Linked DNA regions of Diceros bicornis minor. The protein of the gene in region 1 interacts with the protein of each later gene in a pairwise test. Links are inferred from orthologs where the notes say so. Each region holds a gene or a part of one and is shown on either strand. Other genes may lie near its edges.

Region 1 (6,879 bases):
CCTGGCTGATGCCATCTCTGGTTCTGGACAATTATCAAATATATCAGTGGGGAGAGAGAGGCGGTGTGTCGTGTTTGCTTTCTGAAGCGGGGGTGTGGGCAGGATGGCGTCCCCTGTGCTGGCACACACGGCCGGGTGATTCACACGATCCCAGGAATGTCGCCTGGCACGGGCTTGGCAGTCACAGAATCTCGGAGTCATCGAATCTTGGAATTTTAGACTCACGAAAGTTAGAGTGGAAGCAGCTTGAATTCGCCAGGTGATGGGATTATGGGATCAGAACAGGGGAGAGGGAGGGAGTCAGATCCTCTCACGTTGGAGTAGGACCCCAGGGAGACAATGACAGTGACCATGATGATGATGGTGAGTCACTGAGCGCCCAGTCTGTGCTCTGCTCTCTCTTGAACACTCTATGTGTATTAGCTCTTTTAATCGTTACAAGATGGGAGGCACAGAGAGGGAAAGTGACTTGCTCAAGGTCACACAGCTGAAAGGTGACAAATCCGGGATTTGAACCTAGGCTGTCCAAGCTCTAAGTCACTGTGTTATTCTCTCTTTCTATTGAGAAAAACTTTCATACAGTGAAGTGCACAAGTCTTAAGGGCACAGCTCAATGACTTTAAAAATTACATCCATGTAATCAGCACCCAGATCAAAGTAAAGAACATGTCCATCCATCCAGAAAGTTCCCTCCTGTCCCTTTCCAGTCAGCACCACCCCCCTCAGAGGGAACCACTGATATGATTTCTGTCACCATCCTTTAGTTGTGCCTGTTCTTGGACTTCACATAAATGAAATCTTACAGCATTTTGTCTCATGTGTCTGGCTTCTTGTCCTCAACATCACGTCTGTGATAGTCATTCATGTTACTGCATATATCAGTAACCCATTCTTTTTCATTGCTGCGTAGTATTCCATTGTGTGACTATAGCACAATTTGTTCATTCATTTTCCTGTTGGTGGACATTTAGGTTGTTTCCACTTTGGGGGCCATGACAATTGGTGCTGCTAGGAATAAGAACATTCTAGTAATGTCTTCTGATGATACGTGTATGCATCTCTGTTGGGTACATGCCTAGAAGTGGCATTGCTGGTCAGGGGATGGACTATGTTTAGCTTTAATAGAAACAGCCAGACTCTTTCCAAAGCTCTTGTGTCATTCTGCATTCCTACAGTGTATGAAAATTCCATTTGCTCCATATCCTCGCCAACACTTGGTATTATCAGTCTTTTGAATTTTAGCCATTCGGGTTGGGCAGCTATACCACTTCCCTTGAGGCAGCCTTTCTAACACAGCCCAGAGAAGTGAGTCAGAGGAAGGCCTGGGGCTGGACCTGGCCTGCCTACCTCCCTGCACAGATGTCTGGGATGCTGAGAGCTTGTGTGTGAATGAGTGTGTGCATATGCCCATTGCATTAGGGAGGAGCACCCAAACCTGAGGGGGGAAGGCTGTCAGAAGGCAGGAGCCACGTGCACCAGATATGCTCTTGATGCCCAGGACAGAGCCTGGTCCTAGTAGGGGTTTCATGAGCCTGGACCTCTCCTAGGGAGGCCACAGAAACTACTTTATCAGGTGCAGGGAAAGAAATACCATAGAGGTGGGCAAACTGAGGCCCAGAAACGGCAGAGACTTCCTTGAGGTCACATAGCAGGAATATAACCCAGGTTTCTGATTGTCTATGCTAAGGTCTTCCCACCCTTCCAGCTCCACTTCTCTGGGGATCCTCAAGCTGGAGGGACCACAGGGCCAGAGCTCATCTCCCACAGTCTTCTCAGGTGTCCCCTGCCACCATCCCCCCGTCTCAGGGATCCTCCTATCTCTCACAATATCTCTGCCTGAGGGTCCCCTCTCCCATAATCCCTGTTTCAAGGGGCTCCTCTCCCACAATGCCCTGTGCCAAGGCCCCACCTCCCAAAATCCCCTGAGTCAAAGTTCCCCCCATGTCCTTCTCAGAGGGACCCTCCCCACAATGTCCTTACCTCTGGACCCCACTGCCCACAACTCATGCTGTTCGACACCTCCAGCCCTTTGCCCATTATGTCCTCTGCTCGGAACAAGTCCTGGTAGGTTATGGAGTGAAACTGCTTTGATTGAGTTCCTATAAGGAAACCCAATGGCTCTCATAGCAAAAGTCAAACCCCCAATTTCCAAGGTTGGCCATGGAGGAGGCAAATGGACTTCTGCCTCCAACTCTCTGCTCCCCAAGATTTGTCTTCCTCTTGGGGCCTCTTCTGGTTCCCTCTGCTGCCCCCATCACTCTGAACTCAGTTAATGCTGCTCCCCCATTAACGCTCTGAGCTAACTGCACTCACCACCCTCCTTTGATTTCATGATGCCAGGCGAGACCCAAGAGGGAAACGTGAACAAGATTCTACTAAAAGGCTGACTCTGACAAAGGGGAAATAAAGAGTAACTCGCCAATCTGATCTTCAAAGTGTGGCTCATTCAGCTTCAGCTTGGGACCCCCACAGGGGGCCTCCCCGCCTATTGCTCCACCAGCCCCTTTGGCAGGGCCGTCTTCCCCACCTCCAGCAGGCCTCAAAGCCCAAACCCAAAAGGGATGTTGGGAGAGTTGGGGTTGAGTCATTTGGATATCCCATGTGGATATTCTCCTTCAGCCCCACTCAGCCTTGGAAAATTAGGACCTCAGTCCACGTAAGGGAGCCCAGGCTTCCCGACACTTCCACCCACATTCTTGGGGCCCTGTTCTGGTGCACTCCTTAAGAACTCCAGCTGTTTTCCCACAACTAACTCAGGGGCAGGGGCAAAGACTGAGAGAGAACTACAGCTGTGGGAAGTGGGGAAAAGAAAGCCCTAGGCCTGTGATGCCAGCCACTCTTTGGGACATCCAAGGGGCCAGCAGCTCCTAATATGTTACTGTTAAATTTGAGAAGCCTGAACTCTAGAAATAATCATAACATTCATGATTATGTAGTGGCAATAACATTGACTACCATTTATTGAGCAGTTATAAAGCATCAAGACTCTTTTAAACACTTTACATGGACCATTTAACTGAATCATCAACCTCATGAGTGTGGTACCATCAGGATCCATCCCCACTGTCCCGATGAAGATACTGAGGTTCAAGGAGGTGATGAGATCATCAGCCTGGATTTTCACCTGACTCCAGAGTCCCAGCTCTTTTAATTATAACAACTCTCTTCAAAAAATTCTCAATCCTTTCCGTTTCCCAACTTCCCTCCTTCCCATTCAAACGGGGGAGTCCCTAGGTCTTTAGTCCTAACCCATTCATCCTTGGCAGCCCAAGGGTTGTGCGGGCAGCTTTGCTCCCCACCTCAGATACCCGCTCCAGCAACCATGGCCCTCTCACAAGCCTCTGTCTCTTGAGGAAGAAAGGAAGGAACAGATTCTCGCGAATTCTCTACAGTCTCCCTTCTCAAAATGTGGTCCAGAGGTCAGCAGCTTCAGTATCACCTAGGAACTTGTTACAAATGCAGATTAATGGGCCCCACCCCAGACCTGCTGAATCAGAACATCTGTTTTATCAAACCTTCCAGCTGTTTTTATGCACTTTAGAGTCAGAACGACAGCTCTACACGGTTCCCATTGTATCCTGCACGGGAGAGAGTACACAACGTCTACTTCCGCCTTCAGAGTTCCCATAATGCCTCGATTCTGGACAATCCACCGTCCCCCTACTCCACATACGCCGCTTCTGCAACTACAATTCCCACAATGCCCAGAGGCGCTCACCGGCGCTTTATGCGACAGCATCTCCGAAGGTGTTTTGTGAGCCATCATGGCGCCCACCCTGCCGGACAGCATCAGGACTACAATTCCCACAATGCTCAACGCAGAACTACCGCCCCAAGCGGCTCCCGAGCGGCGCCACGTCGGCTCAGCTGGGTGAGGCCGGGCTCGGGCGGGGCCGGCAGGGTCCGCAGGGCCCGGGGCTCGTTACAGCGGTTCTACCCCTCACCACGCAGACATGGCGGCCGAGAGGGACCAGCAGAAGGATGCCGAGGCGGAAGGGCTGAGCGCCGCGTGAGCAAGCCGGCTGTAGCCCCCTGTAGCCCCCCTGACCGACACTCGGGAGTTCTGGCCCCCGCCCCCTCCTCCCTCGGGCCCCAGGAATCCCGGCCCCCAGACACAGGAGTCCAGGCCCCTGGTCTACTCTTCGGGGACTCTGAAGTCTGGGCCCTCAGCCCCCTTTTGCCCTAGGGTTTAGGAGTCTTAGACCCTTCGCCCGCAGGACCCCAGAGCCCGCCCCCCGCAGCCCCCATCTTGCTCATGAGTCCGGGCTCCCTCCCGGTCCGCCGCTGACCCGGTTCCGCCCACCAGGACCCTGCTGCCGAAACTGATCCCGTCCGGCGTAGGCCGTGAGTGGCTGGAGCGGCGCCGCGCGACCATCCGGCCCTGGGGCTCCTTCGTGGACCAGCGGCGCTTCTCGCGGCCCCGCAACCTGGGCGAGCTGTGCCAGCGCCTCGTGCGCAACGTGGAGTACTACCAGAGCAACTACGTCTTCGTGTTCCTGGGCCTCATCGTATACTGCGTGTGAGTGCCTCTCCGCCCCGCCCTCGCCCTCGCCCTCGCCCCCCGCCCGCCAGGCCCGCCCCACCGAGAGCTCTGGCCGCACTGCTCGGCCCCGCCCCCCGGACGGCTCCGCCAGACCTTTTCACCGAAGGGCCAGGTCCCTACTTCCCCATCAGCCTGGCTGGGACGCACTGTGACCTAACATGACCTAGACTTGCCTGGCCTCAAGGACATAGCCTGTCATCCGCTGGTGTAGACAATCGGGTTCCCTGGCTGGCCCAGCCCCAGCTGCCTGACCGATGCCTCCCTGCCCTTCTCCAGGGTGACGTCCCCTATGCTGCTGGTGGCTCTGGCCGTCTTCTTTGGCGCCTGTTACATCCTCTATCTGCGCACGTTGCAGTCCAAGTTTGTGCTTTTTGGTGAGAGCTCCCTTGCCCAGATGGATCCCTGACGCCTCAAATCCTGGTCTCTTGGAAGGAAAGCCTTAAACCCCAAACCTGTCTGCCCAAGCCTAGATCTACACTAGGTCCCCCAAACCCGATCCCTTAAAATCTCAGACACACCAGGTGCTCCCACCCAGTTTCAGCCCCCCAAATTGCTGTTCCCCAGACCCAGAATGAGATGCCCCAAAACTCACTCTGCACCTATCTCCTGTCCCTTAAAGCTAGCTTCCCCTCTCTCTCCTCCGTCACTTGTGGAAGGCATCAGCTGCAGGTACCCACGTTGGACACCAGGTGGTGATCTTACACTGGCCTAGATCTGTCCCCTGCCTCTGTCCTGCTTCTGGGATGAGACCAGAAAGATCTTGGGACTTCGCAGAGAGGGAAGCTGAGGCTTTTGGCTCTTGTGGTCCCAGACTAGCACCAAGCACCATTGGGAAGAAAGGCCTGAGTCCCCACGCAGGGGAAGCTCAAGGTTTAGAGTAAGGACAGGGAAGAGCTAGGATCAGACAAACAGGGAGACTTGAGACCGAGTTCTTCAGGGGCCTGCAAGTCATGCACATGACAAAGGTGGGCTGGGTGGAGGGACATGTGGGACAAGCACAGGGCATGGAAGGAGCGCCTGGAAAGCACAGCTGTGACTTGGCTTCAGCCACTGCTGCTGCTGGGGTGTGCAGACCTGTCTTCCAGTCTGCCACGAGAAGCCAGAAATCTGTATTGTTATGTGAAGTCATTCAGTTTCTCTGTCAGCCACAAATCAGATTCTTGTGGAACATTGTGCAGACTCAAAAAATACATCCACAGGTCAGACTTGGCCCTTGGGCCACCAGTTTGAGATTCCTGGTCTACCTGAGTGCAGGTTGGAGCAGGAGAGCTCTCATCTGGGGGAGTGGGAGGCTGGGAGCTTCCTAGCAGAAGTGGGGTTGCAGGGCAGAGGGCAGGGGGCTCAGGGAGGTGTGCTCTATGCTGGCAGACAGTGGGGACATTGGAGACGTGGGTGGGGCCAGGACTTCCTTGGCATAAGGAATTTGGATTAGATCCAAATTCTAATCCAGGATTAGCTCCTGGAGCTCGTGACACCAGCCTGTTTGGGGGGCATCAGGGGTGACTGGGAGAGGGCCCGAGTGCCGGAACAGCATGCCCCTATGCCGTCTGCCCCTCAGGCCGAGAGGTGAGCCCAGCCCATCAGTACGCTCTGGCAGGGGCCGTCTCCTTCCCCTTCTTCTGGCTGGCTGGCGCGGGCTCTGCCGTCTTCTGGGTCCTGGGTGAGTACAGGGTCTGGGTGGGCGGTGGGAGCCAGGTGAGAGAGCATGTCCCTAAACTGCCCACTTTCCTGCAGGAGCCACCCTCGTGGTCATTGGCTCCCATGCCGCCTTCCACCTGACGGAGGCCGTAGACGGGGAAGAGCTGCAGATGGAGCCTGTGTGAGGTGTCTTCGAGGATCTGCCAGCCTTCCAAGCCAGCCGCCCCATCCCTGTCCAGCCCTGTCCCGCGCGGCTCTTTTGCTCCGGCCAAAGGCCCCCTTCTCGTCACAAGCCCAGGGAGGGACTCCGGCTTTGGAAATAAAACCGTTACAGTTGTCATTCAGCAAATATTCTCCCAGGGTCCTCTGTGGGTGTGTGCGGAGTGATGCTGGGGATACTGCAGAGACTAAAAGAGAGGGGGCCTGGGTGGAGGAGGGGGGAGACAGTAAGCAAGATAAATAACTAAAATATCATAGGATGGCCGATGGTGATAAGTACCCCGGAGAAGAAAAGGTGTGTTGGGGGGTCCCTGAGACCACCCCCGTGTTCGATGATTTGCTGAGAGGACTCGGCTCAGTATACAGTTGTGCTCACAGCTGTCATTTATTAGCCTGAAAGGTTAGGAAGCAAAATCTGCCAAGAGAAGAGGCACGTTGGGAAGTCCAGAGGACCCAGGGGAGCTCCCCAGAGTCCTCCC
Region 2 (7,500 bases), on another chromosome or scaffold:
CAGGAGGTAATGTTGAGGAATAAGGCATTTGTTGTATAATTTCCCTCTACTGGCAGGGAAGGTAATGTGCAAATAATTTAGGAATTTTTTATAGAAGAAAGCAGCCATTGTGTCTTTTAGGGTATGAGTACTTGAATATGACTTATACCACTTCATTGAAAAACTTACCCATGACTATGCCTTGTGTGTTTTTTAAAAAAATGAAACAATACATACTTATTATAGAAGTTTAGTAAAATATAGAGAAGAAAAAGAATCATGCACAATACTACCAAAGATAAAAAATTAATATGGTTGTATATTTTATATGTCTTTTTTGTACAAAAGTTTACATATTTTACATGTAATTCACTAATCTAGCTGGAATTTATTTCGTGTACAAATTGATCTAGACTTACGTTTCTAAGACAGAGATGAGCATGAAACTAGTTCCTTAGTTTCTGATATGACAAATAAATGATATCCCTGTTAGAAATATGTAAACTTAGTTTGGAATGAGGCAAATTCCTGATCAATTTATATCCATTGTTGGGAAAATTCATAGGATTTTTGATACATACTAGGTTTATATGTTAAAACTCCCAAGGTCAAGATCAATCTCTGCCAAGAAAATTTGATTTGTTAAAATATGGATAAGCTTCTCTGTTTAAATTTAAACCTCATTTTTTGATTCTAAGGTAAGATAGCTTGACAGATGGTTAAATGAGCAGTAGTTTGAGTAATATGATTTACAATAAATCTTTCAAGAAATGAATTTAAGTGCCTGCCAAAAATCTTCTTGAATAACTCCCCAAGCTTAAATTCCAACTTCTCCAAGAGACATGTGCAATAATTTTTTTTTGAACAGATGTTATTTTTAAGAGCAGTGTGTGTCAGGTTCAGAGCAAAATCGAGTGGAAAGTACAGAGTTCCCATATATCCGCTCCCCACACGTGCACAGCCTCCCCAACTATCAACATCCACACCAGAGTGGTACATTTGTTACAACTTGTGCACCTACATTGACAGGTCAATATTACCCAAAGTCCATATTTGCACTAGGGTTCACTTGTGGTGGTGTACATTCTATAGCTTTTGACAAATGTATAATGACATGTATCCACCATTACAGTGTCACACAGAATAGTTTCACTGTCCTAAAAACTCTCTGCGCTCTGCCTGTTTATCCCTCCCTCCCAGCTAACACTGATCTTGTTACTGTCTCGCAATATTTTCAAGGGAACCTTCTATGTCATTTAATTGGGAAAATTTTCTAAATGATCTTCTAAGAGCTGACTATAAGGCTCTCTGATAAGACAGCATAGAACTATATTTCCACGAGTCCTGGGGCCTTCCTGCTTCAAAGCAAAAATTACTGCAATTTGGGGATATAGTTATAATCTGGGTTATTCTCCTTACATAGTGAATTTTTATAAGGAGTAAAATATCTGTTCCCACTTCATGCAGCCAGGATCTGCAGCAAATGTGATTGTGCCAAACTGGTCTGTAGGACACAGTGGCCAGCAAGCCACATGTGTCCTATATTTAAATGTTTAGAAAGACACCCTGTGTGTTGTAGGTTATTTTCCCATAGCCGGGGAGCATCTTGGCTGCAAGAAGAGTAAATTCACTTTTTGTTCACTGGGGAATTAGAAAAAAGCATAAAAGTATTATTTTTTAATCATATAGCTATCAGTCTGGGCCTATTCTGAGACTGGATATTTAAGACAACTATCCCAGTTTGTCTTGCTTTATTCAGTATAGTTTATTTAGTGCTTTTTTTTGGGGGGGGGGGGAGATCAGCCCTGAGCTAACATCTGCCAATCCTCCTCTTTTTTTCCTGAGGAAGACTGGCCCTGGGCTAACATCCATGCCCATCTTCCTCCACTTTATATGGGATGCTGCCATATAAAGTGCGTCGGTGCGCGCCTGGGATCTGAATCAGGGAACCCGGGGCTGCCGCAGCGGAGCACGCAGGCTTAACTGCTTGCGCCACCGGGCCGGCCCCTTTAGTGCTTTATTATATATATTTTTTAACTTTTTTCTTGGGGGGGAAATAATTTCAAACTTACAGTTTGCAAGATAGAAATAGTACCAAGAGCATCCATATACTCTGCTCAGATTGACCTAACATTTTACTCCATTTTAAAAATCATTTATATAGGTGGTTTCTCTCTTTTATATATAATATTTAAATTATATGTTATATATTTAAATTTTTTCTGAATCATTTGAGGGTAAATAGTTCAGTGTGTATATCCTAAGAATAGAAATGTTCTCTTATATAACTAGAACAGAAAATTTAACTGTGATACAATTTTATTTAATATTCTGTTCATATTCCACTTTTGTCAATTGACCCAAAAATGTCCTTTATAACATTCTCCCCTTCTAGTATAGGAACCAGTCTAGGGTCAGGTATTGTAATTAGTTGTCATTATCTCTTTTGCCTCTTTATTCTGGAACATTTCCATGGCCTTTTTTTTTTTTTAGAATATAGCCCCCATCCTCCCTTTTAAAAACAGGATATTAGTTTTTTTGGGTTTGTCTAATATTTTCCCAGAAGTCTAGGGAAACAGCCCCCAATGATCTGAGCTGCCTGTTTGAAGATATACTGGAGAATAATGGTTTCCCCTTTTCTTCTGCCTTTCAGATCTAACACGTGTCTCCCTTGGCAGAATTTAACCTGGAACCATTTAAGGAAAAGTCCTCTGGAAAATAGAGTTCTAGGCTTTCTCCCCGCAGCGCAGAGGAGAATGTAGAAAGGGGTGGCAATAAGGCTAAGTCGACCACTGACAAGGTGGCACACACTCCTGTCCTGTGAGGACCTGGGGATAGAAAGGCAAGAAGACAGGGAGCTCCTGCCCTCATGGAGCCTGCCGTCTCCAGGGAGATCTATAAGTACTGTGAGGGAAGCGCACACCCGCACTGTCTCAGGGCACAGAGGCCTGAAAGACGACAAGGGGCCACAGCTATGCAAAGGGCAGGATAGGGTGGGCTTGTGATTGTCTCGGTAGAGAAGCAGCCAGGGCAGTGGGCCCCATAGCAGAAAAGAGCTGGGTGTATTTGAAAAGTGACACAAGGTCAACGTGACTGGACTTGGGTGGAGCTTGGTATCTTTTTAAGGTGGAGAGGATGGCAGACGCTGGGTTGTGCTGGGTCTCATAGGACCTAGTGACCAGCTGGCATTTTGTTGTAAGTGAAACAGAAATGTTCCTACTCCATATGGCACCTTTGGGCAAATTAGAAAAAGGCATCCATTCCTCAAGGCGTTTCCATCTTGTTGGAAAACGGTTGTAAAATACTTTTATTAGAACAAGGCACTTTACTGAAATCTGCCAGAGAATATTTGTAATAAGTATAAAATTTTCAGTGCTCCAATGTGAAAGGACTCTTCCATAGCGTTGTTCTACTATAACTTGTACAATTGTAATTGGCAGCCCCAGTGGGGAGCCATGGAAGGGTTTCTGCAGGCGAGTGACACAATCCTATGTGGTCCCGAGTGGAGGGGAAAAGAGAGGAGGAGGCGTGTTTTAGAGGCAGATTCTACAATATGTTTGAGGAAAAGGGATAGGATGAAGGCGACGGAAGAGAGGATGGGATGGTGATGACTCGGTAGGTTTGCAGATTTCCACCTACATGTTTTGTTTGAGGTTAGTATGCCGTCCCCCCCGCCCCCCCCCATTCCTTGTCTATCCTAGGCATCTTTGGTATCTTCTCCACGTACCCAACAGCACGCTTAGCAAACAGCTGCTGTGGTATAAACGAAAAGGGCAGATTTAACCTTACATACTATCTTGCATTTTTCAGGTATGTGAAGTAGGTAGATGAGGTTTTGTGTCGCCAGAGATAAGTTTTGGAAAGACCAGAGTTCTAAGGCACAGAATAAAGCCAGTCGCTTAAAAGAAAGGGCTGCTAAGAAGAGTACCTGGGGGTATGCAGGTGTATTGCCACCGCAGCTCCCTCGGTTTCAAGAGGCAGGGGTTTTAGAGAAAGCAAATGGAAGATGTGACGGGCAGGATCGCCAAGGTAAGTGGAAACAGGAAACAAATATCTGCCTAGACGCCTTTGGGCATCTAAATCCAAAGCCTTTCCTTCCCGGCTGCGGAAAGTTCTTGAGTGCCGTGGAGATGCCCGTTCGGTGAGGAGGCAAAGGGGGCCTAGCCTTCCTTCAATTCGTCCAGTCTCCTACAAGAACTACGTAGAGAGATGAACAATCTTTTCCAAGAGCTCGCCGCAGCCAGGCGGGCCAGGTAAGGAGTCTCACCTGCACCCAAAGGGCGCCGGGGCACGCGGTCCCACACTGCGCGGAGGAACCAACCGCAGGCGCCAGCTGCCCAGGTGGGTGTGGCCTCCGCGGTGGCCCCGCCCCCTCGGGCGCGTCGCGCGGGGCGGCACGGGCGGGGCGAGGGAACAGGCAAGAAAGGCGGGGAGCGGGCGGTGTGGGTGTGCTCGTGCCCGCGCGCTGGCGTGTGGGCGGCGGCGCGCCCGTGCGCGCGCAGGGGAGCGGCCAGCGCCGGCGGCCGTTGTGGGGTTCGACTGGAGGGGCGGGGGAGTCACCTGCGAGCGGCTGCGCCGGCCGGCCGCCCGTCCGTCCTTCGCGTCTGGATCTGGCCGGCTGCGCGCGGTCGCGGCCGCGCACACCCTGGGAGGCCGGGGCGGGGAGCCGGCAGAGTCCGCGCCCGGCGCCTGGGACGAGGAGCAGTCGGACTTTCGCCGCCGCCCGCGCCTGGCCGGGTAGGTGAAGCCCGGGTTGGTTGTCCGCCGGCCCCTGGCGGGCCGGGAGAGGAGAAGCGAAACTTTCCGGGCGCTTCCCCTCGCGGTCCCTGGCCGTCGGCGGCGCGGGGAGGTGTCGTCGTCGCGGGCGGCGGCGGCGGACGCCATGTTGGGGTCTGTGAGAAACGGGGCGCTCCCGGGCCGCTCCCCTCGCGCTGGGGTCGGCCGGCGCCCGCCCGCAGGACGCGGCTGCCGCCGCCGGCAGGCTGCGGGGCCGCCCGGGGGTCCGCGCTCCGCGGGGCGGGGCCGGGCGGACGCGGGAAGGGGGCCCCGAGGTCGGGCGAGAAGTTGCGGGGCGTGAGGAGTAGGGATCCAGTCGTGGCCGGTGGCGTCTTAGGGCCCCAGCATCTCTCTGTCCAGAAAGTTTGCGAAGTCTGGGCGTCAGAGACGTTGTAACTCGAATAGCATATATTTATGTGACTTGGGGCAAAAAATGGCACCGTAGAATTTGCTCGGATAGGCGATGGCTCTTACACATTATTCATTTTGGAGTCTTTTGAAGTTTCATGGTCTTTTGCCGAATTTATTTTTCCTTTTTAAAATCTTTTTGAAGGCCGAGAGCTTGCTGCTCCCGTGGCCTGAAGACCCTGTGTGCTTGTGCACCACAGCAGTCGCTTGTGTGCGCGAGGGAAGGGGGTAGGGTTACGGGGACGGAGAACTGAGCCTTTCTCTGTGATTCACGGACTCGCCAAGTGTGGAAGTTTTTAAATGCCTTCTTTGTTGTGTTTTAGTACGTTACTGAAGAGACTCATTAAAGAAAGATTTAGACACGAACGTTGACTGAGGGACTTAAAGGTGTGTGTTGTTTTCTTAACAATAAGGTGAAGTGATCTTGACATTGCGAAATTTTTTTCCGCTCCCTTCGGATCCTTGAAGGTGCGTGCCTACCATGTTTTGAGCATTTACCTTTTTCTGTACTCTGGTAGCTCATGGGATCCTCAGGTTGATTCACAATTAACGAAGGCTTCTATTTTTATCTGTTCGGGTCCTGACAGCGCTGGAGAGGTGAAGAGTATTAAGTTACTTATTTGGAAAGCACATAGAATCGCCTCAAAAAGTAAAACTGATATACTGACCAAGGCATCGAAAAAGGTTCAACTTGAGTTACCCCAGTAAATGAATGTATATTACTATTTTTAAGTAAAGACATCTTCGCTTTAAAATTCTGTTAAATGAACTGAAAGGACTCTTAACCACAAATAAGGTCAACTCTAAAACATGTTTTGGAGAATTTCTCTTCTTAATCTACAGGTAAAAATATAGGTTTTGCTCAGATTTGATTGCTAATTTCCTTAAATTCTTAAAAAAAAATTCTTTTTGCTTCATTGTCAAGTAAATGCCATTATATATGTTTGTTTTTCTGGGTGAAGAGTTCTCTAGAAATGAGGTGACAGCTAACTTCACAAATCTAGCAGGCAAGCTGGTATTTAGCTGAGCTCTTATGACTCGGAAGCCTTCTCATTTTTCTTATAGCTAACTGTGTAGGATACATAACTCATTCCTGTGGAGCAGTCTCTGTCCACCTTGTTTGCTTTGTCTTTGCTGCTCTTTCCATCTTTAATTTTGTTCCTCAGTCTACTTATCTCCTAGAGAGCTGATTTACAAGGGTTCTTGTACTGAAATTTTTCCCCTTAAAAATACTCACTTAAGCTAACTGTACTCTTTGAAAAGCCTTTTCTGCCCTGTTCTCCTTATCCCACCCCCTTTGTCTCCCCAGGAATTGGTTCGCTTCTCCCATGGCATCTCCATACATATTACGTTGACCTGCCGTGGCACCCCCTTGACAGCAGACGTTGCATGGGGTCTGATTTGCCTCTCCCTCCCCAGTGTGCAGAGAACATAGCAGATGCTCAGGAAAGGTTTGAATGGATGAGTACACATATGCTCCTTGTAAATATACTTATTGAATTTCTTACTAAAAATTGCAGTTTCGATGGGCATAGTACTTAAATCTTCTCGAATCCTTTTTTTTTTAATTTTACATTGGTAACTCAATAAGTTTTGGCCTGGGGATACAGAACTTGCATGTTTATGAAATTTACAAGTAGATAATGGACTGAAGTATAATCAACAAAGCAGCAGCAGCCCTGGTTCAACAAAAGGATAATCATAATTTTAAAGTGCAATTGAATTTATTTTCACTGGAGGGAGATAGAGTTAATGCCTGAAAATTTTGAAGGTCGTGTTTATACATTTAAGCTCTTTGATAGAGCAAATCTCATTTCTTTATCAATTATTGTTTTGTCAGAATTCTCTTAGAATTTTGTTTTAGAATGCCTCGCTTAATGGAAAGCATATAGAAATTGCTTTTCTATTGATAAGTTTATCTTTGAGAACCAGCTTTGTACACAAGCTGCATGTTTCATAGCAATGTGCATGTTGGCGTAACCAAATAAAATATACTTCATAGATATGCTTTCAGAGGGCTGTTTTAAGTTGCAAGACCTCTCTAGGTGAAGGTGTTCTGTAATTCTGTAACAAAATTATTGTAGAATTTAGGGTTAATTCCCTGCCCAAGATGACTTTCTCTTCAGTCAATCTATAAACCACAGACTGGTGTGCGCAATTTGGGAGGTCCTGAGAAGAGAAGGCATTCAAGAAGTTGCTATGAGTGCTCGAGAAAGCAAGTTGCATGTAGGGTGGACTGGAACAAAAAAAAGCAATTCTGAATCCTAGTTCTGCTCCTTATTAGCTTGTGACTCTTGAACAAGTTTCTTCACTTCTGTAAGCTTCACTGGACTCATT
Region 3 (6,906 bases), on another chromosome or scaffold:
AATGAGTATTTACCAGGCAGGCTAAGGAGACAAGGCATCCCTGGCAGAGCAAATAGAAGTCAGGAAAGAGCACAGTCACTCTGGAAAAGGCTTAGTGTGTTAGCATGACGGGCACATAGGACTTTCTAGTGAGGAGTGGTGAGGAATGGCTGAGTCCCCACTGTGGGGACAGCACATATGCAAGCTGAATCTTCAGTCAGGACCAAAGATAGGGCTCTGTGAGTTGTGAAAATATTGAAATAGTTCTAAGCTGGTTGATAAATAGACAGTGGCCCCTCCCACTGTCCTATTGCACCCCCAGATCTCCTCACACCAGTGATTCAGCAATTAAAGAGTTGACATCTAGCAGGAGGCCCTTAGCACCCCTCTAGCACTAAGGCCAGTTAGATGGGTGCTGATTGTTAAATGTGTTGAGCATCTCTCTTCTTGTATGCCATGGTAAAGAACATGAAATTTATCCTATAGGGTAAGGGTTTGAAAATTCAGATGCCTCCAGGGATCAGGCAGGCTACACAGAAATGCGTGAAGCAAGTGGGTATAAACAACAGGGAGAGGTGAGGACTGTAGTCAACTGAGGCATTAAAATTAATTTTTTAAAAACTCTGCATCAACAAATATAAATGAATGTTTGCCAGTGCTCAAATTTTGCAGTATAAGAAATAGGAAGCCATGATGGTTTTTTTGTTTTTTTTTTTTAAACTAGGAGAGTGATGTAAGATTTACTTTTTAGAAAATTTGCCGTGAGGGTTTGATGAACCGAGATTACAGAAGACGTGGAGACCATGAGACTGAGAGCATAGTCAGTTACTAAAGCTCAAAGATTGGACAAGAAAATGCTGGCTTAAATTCAAAGATTTTGGGTTGCGTGTGAAAACAAAATTTTCTCTGTATAATAAAACAATAGAAAGGATTATTGAATTATTAAGGAAGATACACCATTTCTGTTTTAAAAAGTTTCAAGTACCTAGGGGCTGGCCCGGTGGCACAAGCAGTTAAGTGCGCATGCTCCGCTGCAGCCCGGGGTTCGCAGGTTCGGATCCCGGGCGCGCCACGACGCACCGCTTGTCAAGCCATGCTGTGGCGGTGTCCCATATAAAGTGGAGGAAGATGGGCATGGATGTTGGCCCAGGGCCAGTCTTCCTCAGCAAAAAGAGGAGGATGGGCATGGATGTTAGCTCAGGGATGGTCTTCCTCACAAAAAAAAAAAAAAAAAAGTTTTAAGTACCTAAAGGACAGTAGTAGATGCTAAACCCAGTGATTTGTCAGGGAACTTTCTAGGTCTGTGGTGCCCTGAAGCATATTAACCTAAGCAAAATATTTGTGGAGAAAAAAACAAACAAAAACCTGTGAGTGGTGAAATGGAGTGGAACAAATGTGGAAAGAACTCTTTAATGTTACCAAGCAGGGGCTTTGTGTAGTGACATTAAGAGCTTTTCAACAATTCTGAGTAGGTTTTATCCACCAACTTAACAAATTTGAGTACATACTATATGCTGGACACTGATGTAAGCACTATTTTAAATGGCATTTGTTAATTCATTTGTTGAGAATTTAACATGTGCTCAGCACACTTCTAGGCACTGGGGATAAACTAGAGAACAAAACACACAATCTCTGCCCTCCATGGAAATTTCTTTCTAGGGGAGGAGACGGCAGTAAACCTGGTTCAAGTTCAGGTTATGGTGAGCAAACCCAGAGGATGGATTGAGGTGGGGAAGACTAGAGACTGAAACTGACCACGTGTGGAATATCTGAGGAAATTAGAGTGTGAGGAAGGATGATCACTTGACAAAACATAATGGAAGAAAGAATTCATAGACCCCAAACTAGCAGAACTTGGAACGGAAGGAGTGGAAGGGGGGAGTATTTTTTTTTTTTCTGAAATGTTTTTTTTTTTTCCTCAAAGCCCCAGTAGATAGTTGTATGTCATAGCTGCACATCCTTCTAGTTGCTGTATGTGGGACGCGTTCTCAGCATGGCCGGAGAAGCGGTGGGTCGGTGCGCGCCGGGGATCGGAACCCGGGCCGCCAGCAGCGGAGTGCATGCGCTTAACCACTAAGCCACGGGGCTGGCCCAAGGGGGAAGTGTTGAAGAGAGAAATACACAGCCCCTAGAATGTTGTGAGTCCAGTACTGAACACCTGTTGTAGCAAATGGGATGTGCTAGGTTTTGATGAGCTGAATCTGAGATTTTGGTGAGATGCCCGTGTGTATTACTTCCTTAGATCAGCATTTCTCAAACTTTGGTGAGTGTTAGAATCACCCCGGGAACTTGACAAAAATACAAAGGTCCAGGGCCTATTCCTTCAACCTGCCTGGGCCTCTGTGTTCTTTATTAGCTCATCAGGGGATCCTGACACAGCCGAGTTTGAGAACCACTGGCTTAATAATGAGAGATGCAAGCCTGGAAAGAGGGATTGAGCTAAGGGCTGGAGATGTATATTTTGGAATTAAAAAAAAAAGTGTTAATTGAGACTTATAGATGGATCAGCTCTCCCAGCTGATGAGCATAAAGGGGGAGGAGGAGAAACCACAGGACAATGAGTGGTTGCATATATGTAGTTTGTGGGAAGACAAGGAAGAGCCTGAAAGACAGACACATGAATTATTCAGGATAAGGTGAAAGTGCAGAGAGCTCAGTTTCCCTTTAACTGGAATGTGGGCTCCATGGGGACAGAGACCTCAGGGTTATCTTACACCTGGCATTTTGCCCAGCACTTAATCAATATTTGTTTCTTGAATGAATCAATGCATGCATGAATGGCTGTCACAAAACCTAGAGAGAGATTTTTAGGAGAACGTAGGCAGTCATATCAAATGCAGAAGCCTGAGGTCAAGTGGGCTGAACCGTAAGGGACTGCTGGTAGATTTGGTCAGAAGGAAGCTATTGCTATAAAAGAGATGGAGTAAAGTACAGGTAGTGAATTTAGGCTCTGCTGTCATTTATAACATTCATCCTGAGCTGTTGATGAGCAATGTAAAGGCAGTAAGATACATACACACACACATAATACACATACGTATGCCTACGTATACATAGTATATGTTTGTATGCATATATATATATGTAAAAGTATAGATATTGAGTTCCAAAGTCTTCATCATGCCCTGTTGCTTGGTTGATGGCCTGTAGCTGCCTCCTTCAGGTTTGAATCTTGTGGGAAGAAGTTCTCTCAGGAGTCTCACAAGTTGTCGGGGGGCTGACTTTGGCAGGTTGGAACATAGACAAAGGAAACAACGTGCTAGGGACATGTCTCCAGGAAGCTGCATAATCCACTTGCCACCCTCAGTTTTTCACTGGTTGTTTGCTTCCCAAGAATAGATATAATTTCTAGAAATTGCATAAAGATATAAGAGCCTATTTTAAGATTTGTTAAAAGCTTTTGAATTCCAGGAGCCCATTTCCTTTGAAAGGATAAATCTGCGTGTCATGAAGCAGAGATGCTTATTAGCCTGCTCTCTGGGATCTGCAGGTTCGTAGATGAAGCATCCAACCTTTCTTGTATTTGAAATGTCATGTCCAAGTGCCTCTTAATGAAGATTCATTTATCCTTTTCACACTATTAAGTATGGTCTATGGGGGATAGACTTCTCTCAGTCCATGTGAATAGAGCCCATTACTGCTAATGGAAATTTTGCACATGCCTGTGGAATTGAATAGGCATTGAAATACATTTAGACTTTCACAGTCATTTTTATTTAGTTGCCTTAAGATTTCAATGATGATCTCTTTTTGTCTCCAAATCCTGTTTGGCATTGATTGTAGGTATCTGGTGATGAGTCTGAAGTTGTAACTTTAACAGGTATAAGTATTTCTTTCCTCTGTTTCAGCTGAGAAGTTTTGAGAGTGAAATATTGACAGCCATTAAGAGACCTCCAATTTAATTTCTCATCCTGCTTATTCTGTAGTTCACGTTAAGTCCAGAGTGCTGAAGGAACTGAACAAGTGGACTTGTAGACATCAAATAGCTGGCCATGGTGTTGGCCATGGCGTCTCAGGAAGTTCAGAACTTCTTCCAGCCTCTCTCTTCCTGGATATCTCGGGTTTATGAAGCTCTCCAGCAAGCAGGAGATACACTATCTGCTTCGCTGGTTAACTTGAGCAAACAAGACTCTAAATTGAGTGACAAGCTAGACCAGGACTTAGATGATATTCAGATTCAGGAAACTTACTTTGAAGATGAAGAACAAGGCAATGATTGGAGTCAAGAAGATGCAAATTCTTTGTTTCTTGAAGTGGATCATTTTTCCTGTTGTAATAGTGATTTGCAGGACTCTCCCCAAAGTGCAAGCCCCAGACTTAGCCGACACGCAAATACAAAGGACTCATGTTCCATAATGTCCCAGTGGCCCAATCAGACCCTTGATGACCAAAAGCCACCACATGTGCTTCCTTCTATTGCTGAGGAAGAACATCACCTTGAAAAGCAAAGGAGTGGCCTTCAACACAGCTTTGACAGCCAGCTCTCTGGTGTTTTAGAAAATGTTAATGGACAAAAGCAAGGTAAGCTAGCCAATGATCATTTTCTCTGGGTTCTCCCAAAGGACATTTCTACTCATTTTACTTTGACTTGTCTTAGTTATCATATGAATTTTATTTTTCTCTTCCTTATACTTTCTATACATACTGACTTCTTATTGAGAGATGTAATCCTTAGAAATATTTTCAATATATAAAACTTTGGAAGATCTGTTTGTGAGCTCCATAATCCAACGCAATAGTTCTGAGCAAATGAAATGGTGAAAATGAGTCTGTGAGTTGTGTTGAGAAGCCCCTCTGCATATGTTGTGCTTTTTAAAACATCTTTAAAAATATTCTCCTTTTTTTTACTAGGTTAGGAATCTCTAGATGTTACTATATTATTCAGTGTGAAATCCTGTGCAAAAAGCCGTACTTGTTGCAAAATTTTTAGTTGATAACACTCCAAGAACACTTCTCACAGTGTGTCGCCGAGATGTGATGTGAAATGACAGTAGATAGGAAATCTTTGGAATAAGAATAGCTTGATTTTCTTTTAGCTTTGAATGGAAAGGACACGTTTAAAACAAACTGCCTATGGAGCTTTATCCTGTCAGAGCTGAGCATTTAATGGACCTTCAATAAATGTATAATGAATATGGTGAAAATATGATTAACTCTGTAAAAGGAGCTATAGTATGTTCTGGCATGAATTTCTCATGCTTTAATACTGTAAGCCTGACATAAGGACGTTTCTCATGGTCGAGGGAGAGAGGTACATGATATGCAAAGAGAGCTGTTGGTATGTATATGTGATGTGTTGTAACGCATACATAGGTCACACAGATTATTGGGTCTTTTACGTGATGTAAAGGTGAAGTCATTAATTCTCTTCTTGTTGGAGGGAGCAGACTTTTCTGGAATACCTCATAGTCTCTTCATCCATTTTCCATGATTCCTCTTAGCTTTATATTTTTAGGGAAATGTTTTATCCAGTTACATGAAGTCTTGGTAAATGAGGATACATAATTTCATATTGTTTTCATAATGCTTTCTTGATACTCTTACTCAAAGTAATAGTGAAATGCTAGAATAAATCGGTGAAGACAAGATAGGCTGATATTCTTTCTGAAGCTGATAAACTATAAATAAATGAAATTTTAAGTCTTTTAAAATTATCTGTAGAGATAATTCTAGAAATATCTAGGTTACCAATAGGATTTCTTAGATTTGACTTGAAATTTCTATTTTAGAAAATTCTTGCTAAAGTTAACTTTATTTAAAATTATTAACATGATTTTGGCCTAATAGTTTCTTAACACTGGCTTTTGTTAATTTTTGTAATTGTAATAATCTAATGGCAGTAAAACAATTGTTTTTATTTGTCCATTCAGGAGATGTTTGTTCACTAGATTGCAGCCTCCTGGAAGGCAGGGGCCGTGCCACAGACTCATTTCTGCATCCTTAACTGTATCAAGCACAATGTTGTGTATATAATAGGATATCAAATAATGATTAATGATGGAACACCAACAAGGAAAGCTAACAACTCTAAGAAGTAAATACTATTATTATTCTCACTTCACAGTTGAGAAAATTGATGCTTAGAGAGTTTGAGAATATCCCCAAGATCCACATTTAGAAAAAGGCAGAGCTCAGGCAGTCTGATTCTAGAATTTATACATATTCTCTCTCTCTTTTTTCCTTTTTAAAGATATAACTTACATACAGTAAAATCTATCCTTCTTAGTGCACAGTGAGTTTTGACAAACACACACAGTCTTGTAACCACCACCGCCATCAAGATATAAAACAGTCCATCACCTCAAAAATTCCATCAAGTCCCTTTGCAGTCAGTCCTTTCCCCTACCTCCAGCTCCTGGCAGTTGCTGATATAGTTTCTGTCTTGATCGCTTTGTCTTTTCCAGAATGTCATATAAATGGAATCATGCAGGCTTCTGAGTCTGGCTTCTTTCATGATGGGCTTATCATAATGTGTTTGAGGTTCATCCATGTTGTTGTGTGTTTCAGTAGTTTGACCTTTTTATTGCTGAATAGTAGTCCATTGCATGAATGCACCATAGTTTGTTGATTATTCATCAACTAAGGGATATTTGGATTGTTTCTAGTTTTTAACAATATGAATAAAACTGTTATAAACATTTGCAAAACAGGTTTTTGTGTGAATATGTTTTCATTTCAATTAGGTAAATACCTAGGAGTGGAATTGCTGGATCATGTGGAAAGTATGTGTTTAACTTTATCAAAAATATTCCACTGTTTTCCAAAGTACCATTTTGCATTTCCAAAAGTAATGTATGAGATTTCTAGTCATTCATATTCTCACCAGCACTTGGTGGTGTTGTTCATATTAAGAAAATTGTTTTAGCCGTTCTCATGTGTAGCGATAGCTCACGTTGGGAGATAATTCTCCATTGGTCTCGGTTT

The links.
Region 2: the proteins of RABAC1 (region 1) and PLEKHF2 interact in binary tests that used the Homo sapiens proteins (3 or more experiments, as listed by UniProt). The two-hybrid records come from large-scale screens. The link is inferred for Diceros bicornis minor from reciprocal best matches to the Homo sapiens genes RABAC1 and PLEKHF2.
Region 3: the proteins of RABAC1 (region 1) and SYT16 interact in binary tests that used the Homo sapiens proteins (3 or more experiments, as listed by UniProt). The link is inferred for Diceros bicornis minor from reciprocal best matches to the Homo sapiens genes RABAC1 and SYT16.

What each region holds. Positions count from the first base shown.
Region 1 is NC_080773.1:17,247,392-17,254,270, forward strand, and holds RABAC1 (prenylated Rab acceptor protein 1), read left to right. Parts: upstream 1-3,863; 5' UTR 3,864-3,953; coding exon 3,954-4,009; intron 4,010-4,306; coding exon 4,307-4,519; intron 4,520-4,819; coding exon 4,820-4,917; intron 4,918-6,101; coding exon 6,102-6,203; intron 6,204-6,277; coding exon 6,278-6,366; 3' UTR 6,367-6,530; downstream 6,531-6,879. UniProt on the Homo sapiens protein: General Rab protein regulator required for vesicle formation from the Golgi complex. May control vesicle docking and fusion by mediating the action of Rab GTPases to the SNARE complexes.
Region 2 is NC_080760.1:14,328,480-14,335,979, forward strand, and holds the start of PLEKHF2 (pleckstrin homology domain-containing family F member 2), read left to right. Parts: upstream 1-4,498; 5' UTR 4,499-4,716; intron 4,717-5,486; exon of another isoform or gene 5,487-5,631; intron 5,632-5,750; exon of another isoform or gene 5,751-6,006; intron 6,007-6,472; exon of another isoform or gene 6,473-6,645; intron 6,646-7,500. UniProt on the Homo sapiens protein: May play a role in early endosome fusion upstream of RAB5, hence regulating receptor trafficking and fluid-phase transport. Enhances cellular sensitivity to TNF-induced apoptosis.
Region 3 is NC_080763.1:11,414,498-11,421,403, forward strand, and holds the start of SYT16 (synaptotagmin-16), read left to right. Parts: upstream 1-3,904; 5' UTR 3,905-3,974; coding exon 3,975-4,503; intron 4,504-6,906. UniProt on the Homo sapiens protein: May be involved in the trafficking and exocytosis of secretory vesicles in non-neuronal tissues. Is Ca(2+)-independent.